Xenopus tropicalis: one gene and its partner. The protein of the gene in region 2 interacts with the protein of the main gene of each other region in a pairwise test. Links are inferred from orthologs where the notes say so. Each region holds a gene or a part of one and is shown on either strand. Other genes may lie near its edges.

Region 1 (3,656 bases), on a different chromosome or scaffold from region 2:
TTTGGCCAGGTTGCTTATGAAACTCCCACATTTATGTATTTGCCCTTCTATTCACTACAAACAACCCTAATGTTTTATTTGTTTGTTTTTTTTTACAACTACCTGAAGAGTATTAATTTCTCTTTCATTAAAACTTTTTAATTTAATTTTAATTAAACTAGTATTAAACCTTTCCCCCACAGGATGTTTCTGTGCGGTGACTGTTAATGTCCCTTCACCAATTGACGCTGAGATTGGGGATCAAGTGAACATCCAGTGTAAGCCATCGGCCGCCGGGTCACCCAAGTACAGTGTGGAATGGTTTGTGGTGAGTAATGGACAAATGACCTTTGGTGAGAGACCCCTATATCACAGTGAGAATTAATACTCTATTAGAGCAATGTAAAAAATAGATAATAAAATCATAGTCCATAGTACCATGGTCCTCTAGCCTGTACTGTCTAAATATTTATTTACTAACAGTTCCCTACTATGGGTTAACATGGGGCCTTTGGGTAAAATGTCCCTGCTATATACCATGCAGACAGATCAGTATGGGGACCCCCAGCGCATCGCATCATACAGCAATGGAAGAAGTATCACAGATCCAGGAACACAATACAGTGACAGAGTGTCGGTCAACGCTGAGCTCAGCCTGGTAATCAATGATGTACGTGTAGAGGACGAAAGGAGCTTTCTCTGCAAAGTGAATGCGGGGAGTGAAGGCACAGCTAAGGGTAGTGCTGACATGAAAGTGTACGGTGAGTTTAATAAGATGTAGATACATTTCCTTTCCTTTCATAGTAATATAATAACCATCAGATGGAGGCAAACTGAATGTACAGTGTTCTGGGGCCTACTTGCCCTTTCCAATGTCTGCCTAGCATTCTTGTGAATACACTATCTAGTGTCTGTCCTGGGGCCCAATGGACTGGAGGGCAACCAATATAGGGAAGCAGGGCATGATGATGCTAGGGCAGGTCCTAGCCCCCCCCCCCTTGTCTCCTAATGAAAGGTTCATCTGGGGTCTGATTGGTCAGCAGTACTTCGGGTAGAAGGATATTGGGGGTGGGCCTTAGTAGCAGACTCCCCACAGCAGGTTATTGAAGTCGCAGTGGCAGGAGTGGCTTGATTCTGAGCCACAGGGGTAATTAAAATGGGCAGTTGGCAAGGTAGGGGTAAATGGTAGGCCTGGAGTTCTGGGGAAGGTGCATAACTTTGGATAGGGCCTTGGACAGTAGTCTAGAAACAGGCTCCAGGCCTGGTTATGTAGGTCTTGTTATCTTGTAGTACAAACAATGTTGTTACAATAAGTTATAATGTTATATATATATTTTCTTCCCAACCTGTTGTCTGGTTTTGTGTGTATGGAGTAAGGTTGGGCAGGGGGTGGGTACTGCAAGCTCAATGCTGCACTCGTCATGTATTCTGTGGCTGGCCAATATTCTTGTATAAAATTACCAAGAATATCAAATGTCTATCCAAATCTGGATAGACATCTGTGGCCTGTTACTACTCTCTCTGTTGTTTAAAATACTTTGCAGAGCCTGCTTACTCTATCCACTCTATCTTACTCTGTCCTACATTTTGGGGTCTGCCTGCTCATTCTCTCCTGTGCCTGGCCAACATACTTACTTGTTCTGTCCATTGGCCAATTACTCGCTCTTTCCAATTTCTAACCAACAACAGTCTGGGACCATCTATCCAACACCTGTACAACATTCTGTGGTCTACATTTTTATTATATCTGTCTAACACTGTGGAGTTCTTTATCTCTCTCTCTCTAGCCAATACCTGTCCATTACCCTGAAGTTTTTTTTAATCACTGTATTCAATTCCTGCCAACTTATTCACACTGTCCAATGGCATTGCAGTATTCTTTGTGTCCAAAATTCTATTTCTATTCTCATTTTAATGTAACAACGACTTAATTAGTTATAAAGTTGCAAAATTCAACCAAATCAGTGGGTGCCTAGTGGGATAATTGCAAGGTTTATGGAAGTTTTGTAAAGGAAGTGATTTTTGGGATATTCAGATCTTATTCTAAGTCCTCTTTTCTTCTTACCTCTCTCAGATCCACCAGAAATGCCAGAAGTCTCCTTGACTGCAGGAATATTGTCAGTCACTGAATCGGATGCAGTGGAGGTGAGTGACATCTACTTCTTGTGATTTTATTCGATATCATTTAGTCCTTTACTTTCAAGCAATTTATGTTTCTGATATTTTAATAATAATTTATAATAGTTTATACTTCTCTTTGGAGGCTTCACACACCTATCAGTGCTGTATGTCTTCACATGTTCAGTTCCTTTCTTATAACTCTTCTTGATTAGATTGGAACCTGTATCGGTCGGAATGCATATCCTGCTCCAACTATTGAGTGGTACAAGGACAAGCAATCCCTAAACCCACCAAAAAGCCCAAACAAGGGTATGTGCAAAGGTCTTCAGACTTCTTAGCTTCTTACAGATTTCTTGGTGATTACAAACACTTGTGTTGTTCATGTCATGATGTAATAAATAAAAAAAAAAATAATTAGTTAAACTTTTGTTGGACCCCTATGGGGGGCCGGGCTGCCATTTTAGGAGCCTATATGTAATAAAAAAAAGTTGGGTTCAGTAACCCATTGAAACCACTCAGCAAATTGCCTTTAGTAGTTACCTGTTTGAATGCAAACATCTGTTAGGTTGCTACAGGTTACTAAACCTAGTGAAAACTGTGAGTAACAAGGATATTAGTTAAAGGTGCCATAGAGAGAGAGAGATAAGACACTGGTGTGTGAGAATAATCTGAGCATGTCTAATAATGAACCTTGTCTTTTTCTGCATTTGCTACGGCAGATCTGTACATGACCTCTCGCACCGTCAGGGAAGCCTCTGGTTTGTTTACGGTCTCCAGCACTCTCTTCTTAAGGCCAACGAAGCAAGATGCCGATTCTCAGTTTTCCTGTAGAGTTGTATATCCTGTACCCGGGGGATCTTTCAGCTTTATGGAATCTTATTCCTTTAATCTGACATTGCACTGTGAGTGAGGCCACTGCTTTATGTTACCTTTATTCCTTTTTTCCTTGCATGCCTTCCAAAAACAAATAATTCTCTTTGTATTTCTTCACCCTCCCTTTGGGTTAAAACAGACAGTAGTGTACTTTGTGTTAAAGAGCTATAACTTTGTATTACAATTTAAGGAATGTATATGCCCTATTCATTCTGTTCATAGCACTTAGAACCAAAATAGTTTGAACGTTGTCTCTTTGTGTGTGGTATCTTCCAACAGCTGTTGGGAATCCCTTCTGTGTGTTTGCATTCTGGTGTCTGGAATATACACCTTAAAGAGAAAGTAAAAATGCCTTGGCAATACTCTTGCAGAGCTGTAAAAGTGCAAGTGCTAGTGCTGGCCAATCATGGTCCCTGCAATAAAGAGAGCAATAAAGTAGAGCTTATGTGATCTTGCTTGACCTGCTTATTTCAGCATAGTCCCGTGCTTTAAATACCCATTCTTTTTCCACTGTGTCACAAATTAACTATGCATTGGAAACCACAGAGATAAAAATTAGCTTTTTTATTATTGTCTAAATATTCTGTTTTTATAGTACCTAAACAAAAATGTACAAATCAGAAACACTACTACAAAATAGTGTCAAATGCACAGATATTTATTGGATGTTAAAATTAGGAAAG
Region 2 (3,656 bases):
TTTTCAATTATTAAAAAAAAAAAGACAGGCAAATAAAAACAAAAAACTAAAAAATGAAGCACGATTGGAAAGTTGATAAGAATCGGATATTCTATAGTATACTAAATATTCACTTAAAGGTGAACCACCCTTTTAAGGGGAACTGCATCTTTAATATCTGAATTACTTGCATTTCTCTTTTGCAGCTATCAAGCTCTCATATGAGGCTATAAGAATATTATTATTGCTACATTTTTTTATTTTTTTTTTACTTATAGGGGAGCTCCGGCTTCTGAAACCAAAATTTGTTCCTTCAAAACATGAATGAATGTAAATTTTATATGCTGAAATTAAGCTGCAAAACAGTTCTCTTTCTGTATCATTTGAAATCCTGGCAAGGGAGGAGGGACTGAAACGCTGATGTTACAAATTGTAACAACATCTCCACAGCTTATTGACGTCATGCAGGAACTACATAGCCCACAATGCATTCCTTATTGACATCACCTGTGCAGGGAATTGTGGGATTTGGAACTATTTTAATATTCATATTTTAATATACCAAGGACTGACATGTCAATGCCTCTTGTTCCATAACTGTAATGGAAAGCATTGCAATTTCAGAGGTGCTTTAACTGATTGTATATTCTCTAAAGGTGTTTGAAGCAGTGATTGTTTGGGTAAATCATGACACAGAAGTTCGGCAGGAGCATATGTCTCACCTCATGGAACATGTACGTCTCCCGCTGCTATCCCGGGACTATCTTGTACAGGTAGGTACTGTATCCTGTTGCATGTACTGCTGCTTCCTGGATACTTAAATGTTCTAAACGCATTTACTCATATTTTATGGTTTTCTGCTTTTTATTTATTTTTTGTTATTTCTTAGAGCTTTCTGGTTCTCAATATAAATTTAAAGGATATATCTCTCATCTGTATATATAAAATGATATCCGAGATCAGTGGTGTTACTTGGTTGCGCCGGGCACCCCTGCAGAAAAAACTTAGGACTTGTTTGAAAATCGGATGATGTTTTAGGTCACACGTAGAACATTTTAAAGCATTCACAAACTTTCAAGCCTTTTAGTAAAGTGGGTCCTTCTTGAAACTTGCCATAAGCTGATAAATCTGAACTCCACCTAGTTATCGTCTGATTGTAGAGGTAAGATGATTGTAGAGGTAAGATTATGTACAGAGATGAGGAGAAATCTCCCCTCCCTAAAGGTGGTCATACACCTTAAGGATCCGCTCATTTGGTGAGGTTGCCAAATGAGCTGAGTTTTCTCCCAATATGCCCACCTAAGGTGGGCAATATTGTGCTAATTCACTTGGCCTATTATTACAACAACAGGTATAGGAGCTGTTGGAGTGAGAACTACATCAGTGAGCCGATCCGAAGGAAAAAAAAAACCTGCCTTATCGACACCTTTTCAGCCAGATTTTGGTCAGGTAGGACCATTAGGGGTCCGCCATACACAGGCAGATAAGCTGCCGAAGGACTTGAGTCGGCAGCTTAAATCTGAATGTGTATGGCCAACTTTAGCCTCACCCAAGGAGTAGGACCACCACTCTATAGAGTGACTTCCTCAAATTCATCGGTCATTTTAACTTCCTTGATGTATATTATACATATAACGGTGTTATTTTTTTTATAATTCATAATTCCAAAACAAAGACAGAAATATGGCACAGCAAGAAATGCCTTCTGTGACAGAGAAAAATCATCTTGTAACTTCCTTGCTGCATTATTGCATTGTACTGTGTGTATTTTTTATGTCCTATTCAGTGATTATATTCCCATGGAAACAAAGATCATTTTATGTTTTGTAAGCTGTGTTTGCAGCAGAGTTCTCTTTGCTGTGGGTGTGCACATTACATTTTTATGCAGTTCAGTTGTCTGTCTTAGGGTGAAGACACACAGAGCTACCAGTAGCAGCTACTTGTTGCAGCAACTAAAATAGATGATGCTGATCATTTACTGATAACAGTCTCTACGTGTGTTTTAGCAATTCTTAGTATTGCCAATTTTCTGGCGTTTAGTAGCCATGACAAGTAGCTGCTACTAAGTAGCTCAGTGTGTCTTCACCCTTACCTTGTGTGTATTCTCAAACGCAAACCCTTGAGGTAAGATTGCATGGAAGTACCTTTTACAACAGTTACTTACCACTGACTAGAAAGATGTCATTTCTCTACCTTAAATGGTTCATAGTTTGTGCATGTCTTAATAGATAAAATGAAAAAATAGGCAATAATGGAGAATAAGGACTGTGTTAATATTTGCTATAATGCAGTTTGTGGTATTGTTTTTATAGAGGGTTGAAGAAGAGACACTGGTGAAAAACAGCAGTGCCTGCAAGGATTACCTCATTGAAGCTATGAAGTATCACCTACTCCCAGGTGATCAACGCACATTGATAAAAAGTGCCCGAACCAGACAAAGGACACCCGTCAGCATGCCAAAGGTAACATTATTTCATATGTTTTGTTTTTTTATTTTATAGATAAACCTCTAACCATTATCTTTAGCAGGCACTAGTTAGTGTAGTTCAAGTTCATTAAAAAATATAGGATAGAGAGTGATTTTGTGCGTCAAGTGAAAGTCCTGATAACAAAATCTAATATAAGCAGCAGGTTCCTTGCTTCATCGCTAGTGCAGAGAGTGCAATTGCAATTTCCTCTCTTTTAGGGATACACTGAATCCAGGATAAGGTTCGGGTTTCAGCCAAGATTCAGCTTTTTCAGCAGTATTCTGCCGAATCATGCTCCTGGCCAAACCAAAGCCTTTAAATCACATGATATTTTGTCACATTTTGAAGTTTTGAAAAATTTTCACCATACACTGCACGTGTGAATCTCTTTACCCTTAATTATCCTAATTTGCATATGCAAATTAGGTTTGGTATTCAGCCAAAGCTTTCACAAGGGGTTCGGCCAAATCCGAAGATAGCTTTTTGCCGCCCCTGGTAACTTGTGGGCTGATGCCACCTGAAGAGAGTTTCTCAACCGCCTTATAACATCAGCGACCCTGCTACATATTAAGATTAGGAGGTAGCCTGTACAGGGTGTTCCAAAATGGACACAGTCTTTTGCTTTCAGTTTACACATTACTAAAGTGATAATGACGTAGGGAATGGTAGGCCCAAAGCCTTGATGGGTTTAAGGTGACATCTTCATTATGATTCTCTAGCAATTCATGACTTTTTAATTTTTTTCATATATCTACACTGAAAGGCTGAATTTTGTGAATGTCTATAGATTATGTGCATACTGTAAATTTCAATATCAGAGTTCAGTAATGTGGTTTCTTTTCAGCTAATGGTAGTTGTTGGAGGTCAGGCTCCTAAGGCTATACGCAGTGTGGAATGCTATGATTTCAAAGAGGAGCAGTGGCACCAGTTGGCTGAACTGCCATCAAGGAGATGCAGATCAGGTATGTTTCAACATAATCAACTCCACTGTTAACCAATCCAAATACAAAACTGAATTAATATGAGGCTTATACAAAATGGTTATTGGCATTGTGATAAGACATTTTGTTTCTTGTTTAGCTAAAAATATTGTATAAATGTCATTCTTGTCTTGGTGAACTTGTATTTCTTTATTTCATTTAAGGTTTCCTTTATTACTTACCCATTCTGCATATCTTTTACATCACACACTAGCAGAGAGAATGGCAA

What was found. The genes of interacting proteins can lie anywhere in the genome.
Region 1: the proteins of klhl2 (region 2) and bcam interact in binary tests that used the Homo sapiens proteins (3 or more experiments, as listed by UniProt). The two-hybrid records come from large-scale screens. The link is inferred for Xenopus tropicalis from reciprocal best matches to the Homo sapiens genes KLHL2 and BCAM.

What each region holds. Positions count from the first base shown.
Region 1 is NC_030683.2:109,108,937-109,112,592, reverse strand, and holds part of bcam (basal cell adhesion molecule), read left to right. Parts: intron 1-182; coding exon 183-307; intron 308-523; coding exon 524-740; intron 741-2,053; coding exon 2,054-2,124; intron 2,125-2,312; coding exon 2,313-2,409; intron 2,410-2,819; coding exon 2,820-3,002; intron 3,003-3,656. UniProt on the Homo sapiens protein: Transmembrane glycoprotein that functions as both a receptor and an adhesion molecule playing a crucial role in cell adhesion, motility, migration and invasion.
Region 2 is NC_030677.2:51,312,549-51,316,204, reverse strand, and holds part of klhl2 (kelch-like protein 2), read left to right. Parts: intron 1-635; coding exon 636-752; intron 753-2,291; coding exon 2,292-2,441; intron 2,442-3,291; coding exon 3,292-3,409; intron 3,410-3,656. UniProt on the Homo sapiens protein: Substrate-specific adapter of a BCR (BTB-CUL3-RBX1) E3 ubiquitin ligase complex that mediates the ubiquitination of target proteins, such as NPTXR, WNK1, WNK3 and WNK4, leading most often to their proteasomal degradation.